Linked DNA regions of Callithrix jacchus. Each later gene encodes a partner of the first gene's protein in a complex. Links are inferred from orthologs where the notes say so. Each region holds a gene or a part of one and is shown in the gene's direction. Other genes may lie near its edges.

Region 1 (9,606 bases):
CGCCCACCCTGGAGGGGAACGGCGCGATCTCGGCTTACTACAAGCTCCGCCTCAGCCTCAGCCTCCCCAGGAGCTGGGATTACAGATGCCCACCACCATGCCCCGCTAATTTTTGTATTTTTCGTAGAGACGGAGTTTCACCATGTTGACCAGGCTGTCTCGAACTCCTGACCTCAAGTGATTCGCCAGCCTTGGATTCCTAAAGTGCTGGGATTACAGGCGTGAGCCACTGCGCCCGGCCCGCTGCCCTTGTTTTCTAACCATGAGATTAAGTTTCTGGTTCTGTTCTTTCGTGCGCGGGGACTGGGGGGAGGGACGCGAGAAGGGTCCAATCGCAATGGCGGAAACGAGGTTACTAGGCAACGCTTTAAGGTTGCCCTTAACTTGGAAGGGAGGATAGTAGTTTTCCTCCTGAAAAGAAGCTGAACACGAACCCAAGTGCAAGGGTTACTAAGCAACACCTGAGCGTTGTTTTCCGGGCGAGGAGCCAGAAACTAGCCTAGAACATAAATACATTCCAGGTGGATTAAGAACATAAGTGCAACAAATAAAACACGAAAATAGCTGAAGGAAAAAAATCCTAATGACTGCCATGAAGTTTCTCAGCAAAGTCAGAATACGTAAAATATTAATTTGTCCGCAAAAGATTGCATAAAGCAAGTTGAAACATATACCACGAACTGGAAAAATCTAGCGTGTTTGTTGACAGAAATGTACTACACAAATCTTACCGATGAATAACAGTATAGAAAAATAGAAACACTTCATTGTTTTTTTTTAAATTTTATTTTTTGAGACAGGGTCTCTGTTGTGCAGGCTGGAGTGCAGTGGCCATTGCAATCTTGGCTCATTGCAGCCTCTATTTCTCACACTGAAGCCACTGTCCTGCCTCTGCAGCAGCTAGGACCACAGCCACGCACCACCACTCCTGACTAATTTTTAATTTTTTTGTAGAGGTGGGGTCTCGCTATGTTGCCCTGGCCTGTTTCAAACTCTTGGGTTGAAGCGATACTCCCGCCTTGGCCTCCCAAAGAGCTGGGATTACAGGCGTGAGCCATGGTGTCCTGCTACTTTATATTTCTTTTTTTTTGAAACGGAGTTTCGCTCTTGTTACCCAGGCTGGAGTGCAATGGCGCGATCTTGGCTCACCGCAACCTCCGCCTCCTGGGTTCAGGCAATTCTCCTGCCTCAGCCTCCTGAGTAGCTGGGATTACAGGCACGCATCACCATGCCCAGCTAATTTTTGTATTTTTAGTAGAGACGGGGTTTCACCATGTTGACCAGGATGGTCTCGATATCTTGACCTCGTGATCCACCTGCCTCGTATATTTCTTTTAATAGAAAGGAACCTGACCAGGGCCGCACATCGTGGTTTACGCCTGTAATCCCATGACTTTGGGAACCGAGGTGCGCAGATCATGAGGTCAGGAGCTCGAGACCATCCTGGCCAATATGGTGAAATCTCGTCTCTACTAAAAATACAAAAATTAGCCGGCATAGTGGTGGGTGTCTGTAATCCCAGCGACTCAGGAGGCTGAGGTAGGAGAATCGCTTGAAACTGGGAGGGGGAAGTTGCAGTGAGGCGACATCGTGCCACTGCCCTCCAGCCTGGCGATAGAGCCAGATTCCATCTCAACAACAAAAAAAAACCATAATCTTCACCAATTGAAAAGTGCTTGCAGAAAGCCCAATGATATACCATTTTATCTTTATCATGTTACATTTTTTTTTTTCCACAAAAATATCACTCTGTCACCCAGGCTGGAGTGCAGTGGTGCTGTCTCGGCTCACTGCAGCCTCTGCTTCCTGGGTTGAAGTGATTATCCTCCCTCAACCTCCTAAGTAGCTGGGACTACAGGTATGCGCCACCACACCCCGCAAAAGTTTGTATTTTTGGTAGAGACAAGGTTTTACCTTCTTGGCCAGGCTGGTCTTGAACTCCTGACCTCAGGGGATGCACCTGCTTTGGCCTCCTAGAGTGCTAGAATTACAGGTGTGAGCCACTGCACCCAGCCTCCTGAAGCTTTTTTTTTTTTTTTTTTTTTTGAGACTCTGTCTCAAGACAAAAAAAAAAAAAAAAAAAGAGAGAGTCTTACTTGCTGAAGCCTTTTAAAGCAAATCAGTACAATCATATCATTTTACCCCTGTGTGCTTGGCAGGCATCTTTCCAATTTTATGAAAATATTTTTACATAACTAGTATGCCATTGTCACCTGTAACAAAATTAACTTGTTCCTTAGTATCATCTAAGTGTGTCATCGAATGTTCCAATTGTCCCAAAATGTGTTTTTACAACTGCTTGATTTGTATCAGGATCCAGACAAAGACCATACACATATTTAGACATCATGTCTCAAGTTTATTTTAATCTAGAACAGCTCCGTCCTTTTTTATGCCTGGGTAACTAAATTTTTAATAAAGATATAAAGAAAAGTGGCCGGGCACGGTGGCTCACGCCTATAATCCCAGCACTTTGGGAGGCCAAGGCGGGTGAATCACGAGGTCAAGAGATCGAGACCATCCTGGTCAACAGGGTGAAACCCCGTCTCTACTAAAAATACAAAAAATTAGCTGGGCACGGTGGCGCATGCCTGTAATCCCAGCTACTCGGGAGGCTGAGGGAGGAGAATTGCCTGAACCCAGGAGGCGGAGGTTGCAGTGAACTGAGATCACGCCATTGCACTCCAGCCTGGGTAACAAGAGCGAAACTCCATTTCAAAAAAAAAAAAAAAAAAGATCAATAGGCATAAAGGAAGATTAAAATGATATCTAGGCCAGGTGTGGTGGCTCCAGCCTGTAGTCTCCGCACTTTGAGAGGCCAATGTGGATGGCCTTGAGCCCAGGAGTTTGATAGCAGCCTGGGCAACATGGTGACACCCCATCTCTACAAAAAATACAAAAATTAGTCGGACATGGTGGTGCACACCTGTAATCCCAGCTACTCAGGAGGCTGAGGCAGGAGAATCGCTTGAACACGGGAGGCAGAGGTCGCAGCGAGCCGAGATCACGCCACTGTACTCCAGCCTGGGCGACAAAGCGAGACCCTGTCCCTTCCCCCAACCCCCCTTAAAAAGAAAGAAAACAATGTACTTTAGGAAGTAGAAAAGTTAAAAATTATGCTAGAAAGATGGGTTAATTTGCAAGAAGGACGAGGAAGGGCAAAATGAATCATAAACACATTTATAATTATAAGTAAACACTACCTGTATAAAATAATAAAAATATTTACAAGGGCATCTTAAAAAGTCACTAGTTGGCCGTCACTAGTTGGCCGGCACTAGCTGTTTAGTCCAGAGGCGTTCAACAACCTAATGTACATCAATACAGAATTGGTCAAATCAATTTGTTATAACCATAAAATAGATTATAAAATTACATTATTAAGATGAAACAGACATACTTTTTATGGGAAAAAATATGGAAATGTTGATATACTAATATTTGTGAAAACATTAATATTGTACGTTATATTGTATTTTAGGAAAAAAATTGGGGATGGGATATCTTCACATTGCACATGGTATGTTATCATGCATAATTCATTGCACAAATAATGTTATTTTTATCATTCTGGAAAATAAAGGATTTCCTTGTTTTCTTTTTTCTAATAACAAAAACAACCATCTATTTTGTTGGTTACTAGGCAACGCTCGCCGGACTCAACCACCCTCGAAAGTTGGGAGGGGAGACGGTGTTTTTCTAGATTTCGCCCTAAGGTGGGGTGGTCGGACTTCGATGTGCCGCCATCTTTGAGTAGGGCACAGCCGTTTACAGCCTTGGGAATGGAAATTAGACTGAATGGTGGTTGCTTGGCAACGCCCCACGGTCGCCGCTTTTGAGTAGGGCATACTGTTTACTACTACAAAATGGAAACGTAGACGGAATGTGGTTGCTAGGCAACGCCTTGGGACCGTGGCAATCTTTGATCGCGGCACAACTGTTTTTTTCCGTTTAGAATGTAAATCATCAAAGCCTACAGGATGGTGTATAAGCAAGGCCTTTGCGCAGTCATCATCTTCAATCCGGCCTCTTGGGTCTCCCTACCTCCTCGGAGAAACTGAAAAGCTTTGCAAATTCAATTAGCCGCCATCTTTGTTAGGGGTACTATAACTTCCGGCTGGGGCGGAAGAGAACCTAACAGGTTTGGGGGAGGTGCCTAAATAGGGTTTGAGGGTCCGAGTTGGATGAAGAAGGCGGGAAGTTAATCCTGTTCCAGTCAGCTCCCCATCTCGCCCTCTGGCGGCTCCCGACCACAGGCCGAGTTACTGTGATTGCCGGCATGCTCCAAGACCGGCACTGACAGTCCCCACGTGGGGGGCTGCGGTGGGAGTCCTAAATGGGGGAGGAAGGGACGGGCGGCACCGTGCATCTGCTGTGCCTCGCGGCCTCCAGCGGGGTCCCCCTGTTCTGCAGGAGCAGCCGCGGCGGCGCCCCCGCCCGTCAGCAGGTGGGGCCTTGGACGCCTGTATCTAAACCGAAGGGGGTTCGGTGTTTTGGGTCTTCAAGGCAGTAGGGGCTGGGGAAGTTTCAGTATTGAGTTTGTAGGACCGAGGAGACAATGGACCAGTAATCCTGGTTCCCCAAAGAGACACTGCCAGGACATAGGGAAAGAGGATGGGGCTGGGAGCTGGCATACGTGGGTTCCAAAAAGGAGGGGATGGCCGGGGGAGGGGGGCTACTGTCTGATGTCCCTAACTCCTCCTTAGCTCCCGTTCTCTGTCATCGGTTCCCTCAATGGAGTCCACATGTTCGGGCAGAATCTGGAGGTGCAGCTGAGCTCTGCAAGGACCGAGAATACGACCGTGGTGTGGAAAAGCTTCCATGACAGGTCCCCAGGCGGGAACATGGGACAGGGACAGGGCCTGGGTTATAGTCTTTGTAGAAGATGACCTCTGAGGTCTTCCAGCTGTTAATTTGGCTATGGGATCTTTAGCAAGCTAGTTACCTCTTTGATCCCCGCTGTTCTCTATAAGAAAGGCCGAGGGAGGATGTATCTGGCATTCTAGGATCAGTGGGCAGACTCCAACATACCCCTTCCTGGTTCCCCAGGCCTTGACTCGTTCTTCCTTCTCACTTCCACTCCACAGCATCACCCTCATTGTTCTGTCATCTGAGGTGGGCATCTCTGAGCTGAGGCTGGAGAGACTACTACAAATGGTGTTTGGAGCCATGGTGAGAATCCCCAATCCTCTTTTCTCCCCAGACCAGGAATCTGAGATCTCAGCATCCAGCATCCTTTTCCCTCAGACCTAGGAGTCCAGACCACCAAAGTTCACTTCCTCCCTCAAAAACCAGAAATGTTTTTTTGGGTTCAGGCAATTCTCCTGCCTCAGCCTCCTGAGCAGCTGGGATTACAGGCACGCGCCACCATGCCCAGCTAATTATTTCTATTTTTAGTAGAGACGGGGTTTCACCATGTTGACCAGGATGGTCTCGATCTCTGGACCTTGTGATCCACCCGCCTTGGCCTCCCAAAGTGCTGGGATTACAGTCTTGAGCCACCGCGCCCGGCCTTTTTTTTTTTTTTTTGAGATGGAGTCTTGCTCTGTTGCCCAGGCTGGAGTGCAGTGGCCTGATCTTGGCTCGCTGCAACCTCTGCCTCCCAGGTTCAAGTGACTCTCATGCCTCAGCTTCCTGAGTAGCTGGGATTACAGGTACATACCACCATGCCCAGCTAATTTTGGGGGGTTTTTTGTTTTTTGAAGACGGGGTTTCACCATGTTGGTCAGGCTGGTCTTGAACTCCCACCTCAGGTGATCCGCCTGCCTTGGCCTCCAAAGTGCTTGGATTACAGGTGTGAGCCACCAGGCCTGGCCTTTTTGTATTTTTTGTAGAGATGAGGTTTCACCATGTTGGCTAGGCTGATTTGAAACTCCCAACCTCAAGTGATCCGTGCATCTCGGCCTCCCAAAGTGCTGGGATTACAGGCATGATCCACCGCGCTCTGCCAGAACCCAGGAATCTTGACCCCCAAGACCCAGGAGTGGGAGTCCCAGCCCCCTCTTCCTTCAGACCCAGGAGTTTGAGTCCAAGCCCCTCCTCTCTGAGAACCAGTTGCCCAGGGCCCTTTCCCCCCTTATGTGGTTCTTCTAGGTCCTTCTTGTGGGACTTGAAGAACTGACCAATATCCGCAACGTGGAGAGACTGAAGAAGGACTTAAGGGTGAGGCTGCAGGACATGAGGGTGGGAAGTTAGGATACCTGAGCACTGCCATTTGGAAACTACAGTTCCCAGCAGTCCCTGGGGCAGCCTGGTCCCACAGGTTCTTGGGGCAAGTTGGTTGTCTGACCCTGGCCCTGGGTCCACCTGAATCCTAGGCTGGTCCCTTCTTCCTCTGCTAGGCCAGTTACTGCCTGATCGACAGCTTCCTAGGGGATTCGGAGCTCATCGGGGACCTGACCCAGTGTGTAGACTGTGTGATTCCTCCAGAGGGGACCCTCTTGCAGGTACTGGGGATGCTATGGAAACTCTTACACCTGTTCCTCTGGCCCTGGCTGAGTCCTCATCCTCTTTCTTCTGGACCATTGTCCCAACCTTCTCCTATCCTCTCAGCTTCCAGTCCTGTCCCACATGGTCCCAGAAGAATCTTTCTTTTCCTTTTTTTTTTTTTTGAGACAGAGTCTCGCACTGTCGTCCATGCTATAGTGCAGTGGTGAGATCTCGGCTCACTGCAGTCTCTGCCTCCTGGGTTCAAGCCATTCGCCTGCCTCAGCCTCCCAAGTAGCTGGGACTACAGGTGTGTGCCACCATGCCCAGCTAATTTTTTAGTAGGGATGGTATTTCACCATGTTGGCCAGGATGGCCTCGATCTCCTGACCTTGTGATCCTCCCACCTTGGCCTCCCAAAGTGCTGGGATTACAGGCGTGAGCCACCATGCCTGGCCTTTTTCTTTCTTGTTTCACTCTTATTGCCCAGGCTGGAGTGCAATGGCACAATCTCAGCTCACTACAGCCTCTGCCTCCAAGGTTCAAGTAATTCTTCTGCCTCAGCCTCCCGAGTAGCTGGGATTACAGATGCTTACTGCCACGCCTGGCTAATTTTTTGTATTTTTAGTAGAGATGGGGTTTCGACATGTTGGCCAGGCTGGTCTCAAACTCCTGACCTCAAGTGATCTGCCTGCCTCAGCCTCCCAAAGTGCTGGGATTACAGGCATGAGCCATTGTGCCTAGCTATCTCTCTTTTCTAAGATAGGATCTTGCTCTGTGGTCCAGGCTGGAGCGCAGTGGCTCCGTCATAGCTCACTGAAACCTTGAATTCCTAGATTCAAGTGATCCTCTCATCTCAGCCTCCCCAGTAGCTGAGACTACAGGCACGTGCCACCACATTCAGCTACTTTTTTTTTAAGAGATGGGCTGGGGTTGGGGACAGTTGTCTCACTAAGTTGCCCAGGCTGGTCTCAAACTCCTGGGCTCAAGAAATCCTCCCACCTTGGCCTCCAAAGTGCTAGGATTACAGGTGTGAGCCATCACAGCCTGCCACCAGAAGAATCCTACTATACCCAGAGCTGGCCCTACCCCTTTCCTGCTGACAGCCCTCTGGCAGCCTCCACCTTCCCAAGGACCAGGTCCAGCCCCTCAGCCTTGTGTTTGAAGGCCTGTGGCACATGGCGCCCCCTAGCCTGTTGCTAAATCCACAATCTACCTTCATCCAGCTGCCTCAGGGGCCCCAGAGATCCCAACAACTTTCCAGTCTGGGTACATGCTCTTCCTCCCACCTCTCGGATCTCTAGCTTCCACTGCTTAAATACCGCTCTTGCAGACTTGCCTGGTGTGGGCACCTCCCAGCAGTGTGACTTCTCAGCAGGTGACTTGGCTTCTCCACGTTGCTGATGGTGCTTACCGGGCATGTAACAGGACTCTATGAACGGTAGCTGCTGCAGTTACGTTAATTAGCTTCAGTTTGCCCACTAAGGCTAGGCGGTTTTTTTTTAAGATGGAGTCTCGCTCTGTCACCAGGCTGGGGTGCGGTGGCACAGTCTCGGCTCACTGCAACCTCCGCCTCCCAGGTTCAAGCGATTCTCGTGCCTCTGCCTCCCACGTAGCTGGAACTACAGGTGTGCACCACCACACCCAGCTAATTTTTGTATTTTTAGTAGAGATGGGGTTTTATTCTGTTGGCCAGGATGGTCTTGATCTCTTGACCTCGTGATCCACCCGCCTTGGCCTCCCAAACTGCTGGGATTACAGGCGTGAGCCACCGAGGTCCGGCCCAGGCGAGGTGTTTAATCAGACTTCACAGTGTGAGCTGGGGATGTGACTTCGTGTGAAGATGAAGGAACTCAGGCTCTGAGAGGGTGAGGTGCAGCAGCATGGCCACTCCGCGAGCTCGGCTGGCCGTGGGTCTCTGTCCATCCCCTGCCCACCTGGGAAGTCGCTGCCGCCGCCTGTGCGTCTCTGCTGACTCCTGGTCCTCCTGCCTCCCTTACCCAGGAAGCCCTCTCCGGGTTCGCTGAGGCAGCGGACACGGCCTTCGTCAGTCTGGTGGTGTCGGGCCGGGTGGTGGCGGCAACAGAGGGTTGGTGGCGGCTGGGGATGCCCGAGGCCGTGCTGCTCCCCTGGCTGGTGGGGTCCCTGCCGCCGCAGACCGCTCGCGACTACCCGGTGTACCTGCCGCACGGGAGCCCCACGGTGAGTGGGTGGGGCGGGCAGGGGGAGGTGAGCGGAGGGATGGGACCTGCGGACCAAGTCGCGAGGAGGCGGGATCTGCGATGGAAAGGGCCGGGGCCGCGGTCAGTCCCAGCCTGTGCCCTGCTTCAGATCCCACACCGGCTCCTGATGCTGACGCTGCTGCCAAGCCTGGAGCTGTGTCTGCTCTGCGGACCGAGCCCACCCCTCAGCCAGTTGTATCCACAGGTGAACCCGCTCCACGTCCCGCTTTCCCCCTTAGGACACTCTCTACCCGCAAGGCCCTTACCCCACCACGCTGCCCTGCCAGTGGCTTTTTTCCCGGACCCGTCCTGGACTGCGCGCCAATCAATTCCCCAAGATCGGCCAATCACGCGTGGCCTCTGTGCTTGCAAGCCTCGCCCCTTCCCTAGTCCCCTCTGCCCTCCGCCCTCCTCTTTTCGTGTACGCCCCACCCCTCCCGATTGACCGCGCCCCTTCGTGCCTCTTCCCCCCGCCCCCCGCCGGCTCCGCCTTCCCATGACCACACCCCCCCCTCCCCCCCGCAGCTTCTGGAGCGCTGGTGGCAGCCGCTGCTGGACCCGCTGCGGGCCTGCCTGCCGCTGGGACCCCGAGCGCTGCCCAGTGGCTTCCCACTCCACACAGACATCCTCGGGTAGGGCTCGGATGGAGGGATTGTGTTGGGGATCATGTCCTCTTCCCTAGCCATGACATCCCTTCCCTTTCCCACAGGCTGCTGCTCCTCCATCTGGAACTGAAACGCTGCCTCTTCACTGTGGAGCCCTTGGGGAATAAAGGTGACTGAGGGCAGGGACAGGGTCAGGAGGGGCGCGGGCCGAGGAGGGGCTCTGCATCACTGCCTTTTCCTCCCCGCAGAGCCTTCCCCAGAACAGCGCCGGCGCCTCCTCCGAAACTTCTACACCCTGGTCACCTCCACGCACTTCCCACCAGGTGAGCGGCAGGCACAGTGCTACTGCGCAA
Region 2 (9,337 bases), on another chromosome or scaffold:
TGCAACCTCTGCCTCCTGGGTTCAGGAGATTCTCCTGCCTCAGCCTGCCGAGTAGTTGGGATTACAGGTGCATGCCACCACAGCTAGATAATTTTTGAATTTTTAGTAGAGATGGGTTTCACTATGTTGCCCAGGCTGGTCTTGAACTCCTGACCTCAAGTGATCTGCCCACCTCAACCTCCCAAAGTGCTGGGATTGCAGGCAGGAGCCACTGTGCCCAGCCCCAAGATGACTTTACATCTTCTCCGGCTTCCAGATTAACAGGCACGCTCATTCTGCCAAGCCGGTTCATTTTCTCACATGCTCACTGAACCCTCCACAAGCCAAGGACAGGGCTGGATGTGAAGTCTGGAAACCCAGAGATAATTCAGATCTGAGCCCTGCCACTGAGTCACTCCTGGCCCATGGAGAGAGCTCTGCACAGCTGTGAATCTCCCTGACTGGGTAGATGTGGTGACAGCTGCAGGAAGGGGAACCATGTGACCTGGGAATATGGGCAAAGGATTCCAGCTGCAGAATCCTGTAGGAATGGTTGTCTTGTTCTGCCTGGCCACAGAGTGAGCAAGTTGAGAGAAAGCACCTTGTCTTACACGTCCCCTCTCTTAGACATAATTGTCCTTAAAAAATTTGTGAGTTAGGCCGGGCGTGGTGGCTCAAGCCGGTAATCCCAGCACTCTGGGAGGCCGAGGCGGGTGGATCACGAGGTCAAGAGCTCGAGACCATCCTGGTCAACATGGTGAAACCCCATCTCTACTAAAAATACAAAAAATTAGCTGGGTATGGTGGCGCGTGCCTGTAATTCCAGCTACTCAGGAGGCTGAGGCAGGAGAATTGCCTGAACCCAGGAGGTGGAGGCTGCGGTGAGCCGAGATCGCACCATTGCACTCCAGCCTGGGTAACAACAGCGAAACTCCGCCTCAAAAAAAAAAAAAATTTGTGAGTTAGCTGGGCGCGGTGGCTCACAGCTGTAATCCCAGCACTATTGGAGGCCGAGGCAGGCAGATCATGAGGTCAGGAGTTTGAGACCAGCCTGACCAACATGGTGAAACCCCATCTCTACTAAAAATGCAAAAATTAGCCAGGTGTGGTGGCACTCGCCTGTAATCCCAGCTACTCAGGAGGCTAACATAGGAGAATCGTCTGAACCCAGGAGGCAGTGGTTACAGTGAGCTGAGAACGCGCCACTATTCCACTCCAGCCTGGGTGACAGAGTGAGACTCCGTCTCAAAAAAAAAAAAAAAATCTGTGAGTTTGTGGTCCTCTGGCTGCTTCTGCTTCCCTAGGGACAGCCCTTCTAGTGGCTGGGGATAAAGTTTTAAAAACAAAACCCGGCTGGGCACAGTGGCTCACACCTGTAATCCCAGCACTGGGAGGCCATCGTGGGCAGATCACTTGAGGTCAGGAGTTTGAGACCAGACTGCGCAATATGGTGAAATCCCGTCTCTACTAAAAATACAAAAATTAGCTGGTCATGGTGGTGCATGCTGGTAATCCCAGCTACTCGGGAGGCTGAGGCAGGAGAACAGCTTGAACCTGGGAGGTGGAGGTTGCTGTGAGCCAAGATTGTGCCACTGTACTCCAGCCTGGGCGACAGAGGAAGACTCAACAAAACAAAACAAACAAACAAAATACACAAAAACCCAAACTGGCAGAAAAGATAAGTACTTTAGAGTCAGGTAACCGTGGGTTCTTTTTTTTTTTGACAGGGTCTGGCTCTGTCACTCAGGCTGAAGTGCACTGAAGTGCAGTGGCATGATCTCAGCTCACTGCAACCTCCACTTCCCAGGCTCAAGCAGTCCTCCCATCTCAGCCTCTGAGTAGCTGGGACTTCAGGCGTGCACCACTTTGCCCGGCTAATTTTTGTATTTTTGGTAGAGACAGGGTCTTACTATGTTGCCCAGGTTGGTCTTGAACTCTTGAGCTTAAGCAATCTGTCTGCCTTGGCTTCCCAAAGTGCTGGGATTACAAGCATGAGCCACCATACCAGCCAGCTGTGAGTTCTGAGTCATTTTCACACTGACTAGCTGTGTCGTGTGACCTCAGACAAGTCATGTTATGTTTCTGAATGTTGTCATCAGTGAAAGAGGGTAATACAATTTACACAGGTTTGTTTATAGAATTAAATCAGGTGACTCTGTAAAGCCCCAACTGTCTGGCACTTAAGTGGCCTTCAGTAAAGCTTAATTCCTAGATTATTTCTTTCAAAACAGTGATTTGCCCTACGTGAAGGCATTGCAAGAAGATAGTGGTAAAAAATCAAATGTAATAGACAAACTCTCAGTAATGACCCACCTGCACCCTTTCCAACCAATGGGCATATACTGGGCACCCACCTTCTGGGTAACAGGCCTGGTGTCCAGTGCTGGAACAGTGGAGAGGCGCTCAGAGGTTCAGAGCTGAAAAGTCGGCTCCAGGAGGGCAGGGACTTCTTGTTGGCCGTTGTATCCCCAGCCCTTAGAATAGGCCAGGAACATAGTAGGTGCTCAGTATTTGTTGAATGAATGAATGAATGAAAAGTAAAATCCAGTGGGCCTCTGACTCATTTTTAAAAACTTGAGCCAAGTCCCTTGACCTCTCTGAGCTGGTGTGTGTCCCCATCAGTGAAGCCAGATGTGTTTAAGTCATCTCGAGGTCCTGCTGAGCAGAATTAATAGAGCAATAATATTAATAATAGCAACAGTCATAATCAAACATATGGAGCACAGCTATGGAGGGAATAACATGTTACGTCCACGTTATAGAAGAAGAAACTGAGACATAGGCAAGGAAGGCTCCTGGAGAAGCGGGCGTTTCATGATGTTTTGGAAGAACGACTGGGGATCGGACGTAGTAATAGAGAAGAGGATCCACGACCCAGAGGAAAAGGCCTTGTCCCAGTGCCATCGCGCCGCGCTGGCTGCGGACATTGTAGGAGGGACGAACGCCGCCCGGAACCCGCCCAACCCAGCCTCCGGCATCTCCATGGCAACAACCTCCGCACATGCGCCGCGAGCACCCGCGCCGGAGCTGGCAGCGCGCGCCGAAGCCCGACGCAGGCAGGGCGGAAGCGGGACCGGTGGGCTGGGACGGCTGGAGCGCGGGTGGGCGTTTAAAGGGGCCTTCGGCACCCGGTTCGGTTCGCCGCCGGGACTGCTGATGGTGAGGGCTAGGTGGCCCCGGGAATCGGGATCTAGAAGGTAGAGGAGAAGCAGGGGCGTCTGACCCCCGGAGGTGACAAGGGGAGACGGGCTGTGTAAATACCCTCCCTGGGCAGTAATGGGATGACTGTCCCCAGGGATCACTGCGGAGGAGAGAGGGGGCTGTAGGACCGCAGTTTCTGGGGTCCCCCGGGAGAGTCAGAGGGCAGTTAAGAGGGATCTCAGGACCGGCTTGGGACGGTCACCCCTCTTTCCACTGCCTGCTCTCAGCATTCCTGCCACCTCCCTACCCCATCGCGGTGCCCAGCCATGGCCAGACCTCCCGTGCCCGGTTCGGTGGTTGTCCCAAACTGGCACGAGAGTGCCGAGGGCAAGGAGTACCTGGGTTGCATTCTGCGCAAGAACCGCCGGCGGGTGTTTGGTAAGTGCCTCCCCCTTTCCTCCAGCCTGTTACTTGTCTCCCTGGGGAGCAGAGTATCATCTGTTGCTCCCTGAGTGGAGCAGAGAGGCAGGACAGTGAGGGCCTGCTCCACTGCAGTCTTCAACAGTCTTCAGCCTGGGAAACTGAAAGCCCTATCCCTGGGACCCCCACCCCTAAATCTCCTTAGAGATAATTCCATCATCACAGCCAGGAACATGGAAACAGCAGAAACCCTGTCAGCAACCACTGTCACCAGATATGCAGTTGACTGAGCCCTCCCCTCGTGTCAGGGCTTCTTTTGGGCACTTTACACAGTGCACTCCCATTTAACCTCTCAACAGCACATGGTACAGACTTGGCTAATATCATACCCTAATAAGTAGAGGTGAGCCACTTCCATGTCCTGCTGTCTCTGGGATGAGACACACTGGTGTTCCCCACGGTGAAGCTGACTTGCCCACGCAGGACCCGGCTGTGAGGCTGCCAGAGGTACCTGGAATGAGCTATGGAGTCCAGTTCTGGCCAGGAGAAGCAAGGCACCAGAAGGCTTCAGACCAGAGAGTGAGATAGCTAGAACCAAAATTTGTGAATATGTCAACAGTGTGTTTTTTTAAAGAAATTGCTCTAGATTGAAAATATGACCCTCTGGAAGGCCGGGCGCAGTGGCTCACACCTGTAATCCGAGCACTTTGGGAGGCTGAGGAGGGTAGATCACCTGAGTTCAGGGGTTCAAGACCAGCCTGGCCAACATGGCGAAACCCTGTCTTTACTAAAAATACAAAAATTAGCTGGGCATGGTAGCAGGCACTTACAATCCCAGCTACTCTGGAGGCTGAGGCAGGAGAATCACTTGAACCTGGGAGGTGGAGGTTGCAGTGACCCTAGATGGAGCCATTGCACTCCAGCCTGGGCGACAGGAGCAAAACTCTCAAAAAAAAAAAAAAAAAAAAAAAAAAACCCTCTAATATGGCTACTGTCCCTCTAATCCCATGATGGCTGGTAGCACTGCATTTGGGGTCACGCACACCCAGGCAAGTGACCCAGGCTCCACCACTGCCTAGCTGTGTGACTGGGAATAAGTGAACTCTAGCCTCAAGTCCCACCTCTGTAAAATGGGGATAATCATAGTATTTACCCCATAGAGTTGCTGGGGAAATTCCTAAGGAGTGTGTTTGTAACACACTGAGCAGGCTGTGGCATGCAGTGGGTGTTCACGGAAGGTTGGCGGTTACTGTATTCATTTTGTGTTTGTGTTGAGTGGAAGAGAATTGAGTGAAGGTTGAGCTGATTTTCTGGGCACATCATAGAACCCACTGACCATATTATCTATGCCACAGATAGGATCAAGCAGCCATAACATAGAGGAATGGCAGTGGTGGCTTTGAATTTTTTTTTTTTTTTAGACAGAGTTTTGCTGTTGTTACCCAGACTGGAGTGCAATGGCACGATCTCGGCTCACCGCCACCTCCGCCTCCTGGGTTCAAGCAATTCTCCTGCCTCAGCCTCCCGAGTAGGGTGCGCACCACCATGCCCAGCTAATTTTTGTATTTTTAGTAGAGATGGGGTTTCACCTTGTTGACCAGGATGGTCTCGATCTCCTGATCTCGTGATCCACCCGCCTCAGCCTCCCAAAGTGCTGGGATTATAGGCGTGAGCCACTGCACCTGGCCCTGAATTTTTGTGTTTTTACTTTACCTGCAGACATCTGGGGGGTTTTGTTAACACTTGAATGTGTCGTTCAGTGGTTGTCATGCAGGCCCCACAACAAACGTTGAGAGCTGCTAGTAAATATCAACAGACTGACTATAACTTAGGCCAGTCTCTTTGTATCTCAGACTTCTGTAAAATTGGGATGAGTATTAAGAACGACAGATGGGGCCGGGTGCGGTGGCTCACACCTGTAATCCCAGCACTTTGGGAGGCCAAGGTGGGCGGATCACCTGAGGTAGGGAGTTCAAGACCAGCCTGACCAACGTGGAGAAATCCCATCTCTACTAAAAATACAAAATTAGCCGGGCATGGTGGTGTCTGCCTGTAATCTCAGCTACTCTGTGGTTGAGGTAGGAGAATCACTTGAACCCGGGAGGCGGAGGTTGCGGTGAGCCGAGATCACACCATTGCACTCCAGCCTGGGCAACAAGAGTGAAACTCCGTCTCAAAAAAAAAAAAAAAAAAAAAGAACCACAGATGGTTGGTTAGCCCTGAAGAAGCCATTAGAAATGAGGTTGTCCTTGGCTGTGTGTGGTATAGTCCTAGCACTCTGGGAGGTCAGGCAAGGTGGGAAGAGTGCTTGAGCCCAGGAGTTCAAGACCAGCCTGAGCAACATAGTAAAACCCCCATTCCTATTAAAAATAAAAGGTGGCCGGGCACAGTGGCTCATGCCTGTAATCCCAGTACTTTGGGAGGCCAAGGCTGGTGGATCACAAGGTCAGGAGATTGAGACCATCTTGGCTAACACAGTGAAACCTCATCTCTTTTTTTTTTTTTTTTTTTTTTGAGACAGAGTCCTGCTCTGTCACTAGGCGCCAGGCTGGAGTGCAGTGGCGCGATCTTGGCTCACTGCAACCTCTGCCTCCTGGGTTCAAGCAATTCTCCTGCCTCAGTCTCCCGAGTACAGGGATTACAGATGCATGCCACCACGCCCAGCAAATTTTTATATTTTAGTAGAGATCGCGCCACTGCATTCCAGCCTGGGCAACAGAGCGAGACTCCATCTCAAACAAAACAAAGGTAAAGAAAAAAATAAATAAATGAAGATTGTCCAGCCTAGCATCTGATGGGGAACGTACAGGACTGACCCCCTATCTTAGTCCATTTTATGCTGCTATAACAGAATAAACACACTCTTGGTTGTTTATTTATATTTTTTTGAGATGGAGTCTCACTCTGTTGCCCAGGCTGGAGTGCAGTGATATGATCTCGGCTCACTGCAACTTCCACTTCCCAGGTTCAAGTGATTCTCCTGGCTTAGCCTCCCAAGTAGCTGAGATTGCAGGCACCCACCCCTACCCCCAGCTAATTTTTTGTACTTCTTTTTTTATATAGAGATGGAGTTTCACCATGTTGGCCAGGCTGGTCTCCAACTCCTGAACTCAGGTCCTCTGCCCACATTGGCCTCCCAAAGTGCTGAGATTACAGGTGTAAACCACCGCACCCAGCCTCCTCTGGGAAATTTATAATGAATAGAAGTTTATTTGGCTCACAGTTCTGGAGGCTGGGAAGTGTAAGAGCATGGCAGCATCATCTGGAAAGGGCCTTCATGCTGTGCCATCCCGTGGCAGAAGGCAGAAGTGTGACAGCAAGACAGCAAGAGGTGCCCAAACTGGCTTTTATAACAAACCCACTCCTTCAATAACAACATGGATCCATTTGTGAGGGTAGAACACTTGAGCTCATCACCTCTTGGTAGGCCCTACCTCAACACTGTTGCATCGGGGATTAAGTTTCTCATACGTGAACTTTGGGGGACACCTTCAAACCACGGCACCCCTTGACTCTGCCTGGCTCCCTCTTTGCTCCAGGACTGCTTGAGCGGCCAGTGCTGCCACCGCCTGTGTCCATTGACACTGCCAGCTACAAGATCTTCGTGTCCGGGAAGAGTGGTGTGGGCAAGACGGCGCTGGTGGCCAAGCTGGCTGGCCTGGAGGTGCCTGTGCTACACCACGAGACCCCCGGTGAGTGCAACCTCAATCCTTTGCCCATCCTGGGAGGCCCTCCTTGTGGTGGGGGCAAGAACCTGGCCCTGGACCACACAAGCCAGGGTCGATACCCAGCTCCACATCCTACTCTGTAGCCTTGGAAAGTCACTCCACCTCTCTGAGCCTCCATGGGCTTCTCAGTCCCAAGGGGATACTAGTACCTACCCCACAGGGTTGTCGTGTGGTTGCTAGAGGTACTGGTGGTAACATCCCTAGCATCAAGCTAGGCTCAAGGTAGATACTCAGGAAATGCTAATCTTGCTTTCTTGTTTCTTACCACTGGATGTTGATTGATCCACCCTGTTGAAACATGCCCAGTGTCCTGGGACCTTTGGTCTCCCTGCATATACAAACAAAACTGCTTTGCCATGGCTGGGACTACATCTTCCTGCTATGCCAGAGGCTCCTCCAGGGCCAGTCTCTGTTTCTCCCATCAGACTGAGAATTCTCCCAGGTCAAGGACTGTGCCTCCCTCATCAAAGGGAGGACCCCTCAGGGCAGGGACGTATCTCCTCCTATTCCTTCCTGCCCCCAGTCCTCCATCTCCACCCCTCCCATGCTGAATGGCTGATCCTGGCTCCCCTCAGGCATCCAGACCACCGTGGTATTTTGGCCAGCCAAGCTGCAGGCCAGCGACCGTGTCGTCATGTTTCGTTTTGAGTTCTGGGACTGTGGAGAGTCTGCGCTCAAAAAGTTCGATCACATGCTGCCGGTGAGCAGGCATGTGGGCCTGGGTGGGCTCTGCCAGGGGCCGATTGGGTATTAATGAGCTCAAGGCACTGGCTGGGTATGGTGGCTCACGCCTGGAATCCCAGCACTTTGGGAGGCTGACGCGGGCAGATCACCTGAGGTTGAAAGTTTGAGACCAGCCTGACCAACATGGAGAGACCCTGTCTCTACTAATGATACAAAAAGTTAGCCAGGCGCCTGTAATCCCAGCTACTTGGGAGGCTGAGGCAGGAGAATCACTTGAACCTGGGAGGTGGAGGTTGCAGTCAGCATTGCACTCCAGCCCGGGCAACAGGAGCAAAACTCCATCTCAAAAAAAAAAAAAGAGCTCAAGGCCCTGCCTTGGGAGATAGAGATCTGAGCTGGCACTGGGGACTGAGTCCCAGCCCATGCTCGTCCTAGGACCAGCCACATCGTGCTCTGGGCCTCAGTTTCCCAACCTGTGAAAGGAGGGATTATTCCCGATTCTTCTCAGGGCCCTGCAGCTGATGGGAGGGTGTCACAGTTATATGCCTCTCCGTCGCCAGGCTTGCAAGGAGAACACAGATGCCTTCCTCTTCCTTTTCTCCTTCACTGACCGTGCCTCCTTTGAAGACCTCCCTGGACAGCTGGCCCGCATAGCAGGTGAAGCCCCTGGTGTCATCAGGATGGTCATCGGCTCCAAGTATCCTTTGGGTAGCCTCTGGGGCTGTCAGAGGCCACCCTTGGCAAGTCAGGGAGCAAGGGGATCAGGGGCCTGGCCTCTGCCCAGGTGTGGAATTCAGCACCTGGGCTTTTACTTAAAGGGTACCACATGGCTAGCCCGGCTCCTGGGTGCGGGCTCCAGGGTGGAGGGAGAGGCGGGGTCTGATGGGGGTGTGTGCAGAGGCACCTGGCCAGGCTTCTTGACCCTCCTCCAGATTTGACCAGTACATGCACACAGACGTGCCTGAGCGGGACCTCATAGCCTTCCGGCAGGCCTGGGAGCTGCCCCTGCTACGGGTGAAGAGTGTGCCAGGGCGGCGGCTGGCTGATGGGCGCACGCTGGATGGGCGGGCTGGGCTGGCTGACATTGCTCACATACTCAACGGCCTCGCTGAGCAGCTGTGGCACCAAGACCAGGTGGCGGCTGGCCTGCTTCCCAACCCCCTAGAGAGTGCTCCTGGATGAATCATGAGTGGGTGCCTGTGATCCTGCCCTCAACCCTCAGGTCTCAACACAGAGCCTGAGGCTGGGGCAGGAGCATGAATCCAGTCTGGAGGACTGGGTAGCATGGCCTGGTCAGGGAGGACGTGGCCAGAGAAGCCCCCGCCAGCAGCGCTTTCCTTGCAGAATTCATGGCATGGAGATGGGGACCAAGATCCTGAGTTCGG

What was found.
Region 2: the proteins of FUZ (region 1) and CPLANE2 are in contact, whole or in part, in a cryo-EM structure (PDB 7Q3E), measured with the Mus musculus proteins. The link is inferred for Callithrix jacchus from reciprocal best matches to the Homo sapiens genes FUZ and CPLANE2. Residues at the interface, in NP_081652.2 of Mus musculus: Arg26, Arg35, Ile109, Val110, Lys126, Glu127, Arg129, Ala130, Tyr132, Cys133, Asp136, Gln215, Ala216, Ala217, Arg218, Asp219, Tyr220, Pro221, Tyr223, Pro232, Leu238, Thr239, Leu240, Leu241, Arg242, Pro255, Leu256, Gly257, Gln258, Pro261; in NP_001074643.1 of Mus musculus: Glu36, Gly38, Leu39, Leu40, Glu41, Arg42, Val83, His84, His85, Glu86, Thr88, Gly89, Ile90, Gln91, Thr92, Thr93, Val94, Lys124, Phe125, Met128, Glu134.

What each region holds. Positions count from the first base shown.
Region 1 is NC_133523.1:43,584,659-43,594,264, reverse strand, and holds the start of FUZ (protein fuzzy homolog), read left to right. Parts: upstream 1-4,163; 5' UTR 4,164-4,336; coding exon 4,337-4,447; intron 4,448-4,706; coding exon 4,707-4,828; intron 4,829-5,087; coding exon 5,088-5,172; intron 5,173-6,093; coding exon 6,094-6,162; intron 6,163-6,341; coding exon 6,342-6,446; intron 6,447-8,430; coding exon 8,431-8,628; intron 8,629-8,757; coding exon 8,758-8,853; intron 8,854-9,173; coding exon 9,174-9,280; intron 9,281-9,357; coding exon 9,358-9,422; intron 9,423-9,501; coding exon 9,502-9,576; intron 9,577-9,606. UniProt on the Homo sapiens protein: Probable planar cell polarity effector involved in cilium biogenesis. May regulate protein and membrane transport to the cilium.
Region 2 is NC_133508.1:53,550,804-53,560,140, reverse strand, and holds the start of CPLANE2 (ciliogenesis and planar polarity effector 2), read left to right. Parts: upstream 1-3,002; 5' UTR 3,003-3,135; coding exon 3,136-3,138; exon of another isoform or gene 3,139-3,176; intron 3,177-3,407; coding exon 3,408-3,558; intron 3,559-6,603; coding exon 6,604-6,654; exon of another isoform or gene 6,655-6,736; coding exon of another isoform or gene 6,737-6,763; coding exon 6,764-6,871; exon of another isoform or gene 6,872-6,917; coding exon of another isoform or gene 6,918-6,963; intron 6,964-7,079; coding exon 7,080-7,232; intron 7,233-7,843; coding exon 7,844-7,968; intron 7,969-8,512; coding exon 8,513-8,649; intron 8,650-8,884; coding exon 8,885-9,134; 3' UTR 9,135-9,337. UniProt on the Homo sapiens protein: Required for efficient primary cilia initiation, regulating a late step in cilia initiation. Plays a role in the final maturation of the mother centriole and ciliary vesicle that allows extension of the ciliary axoneme.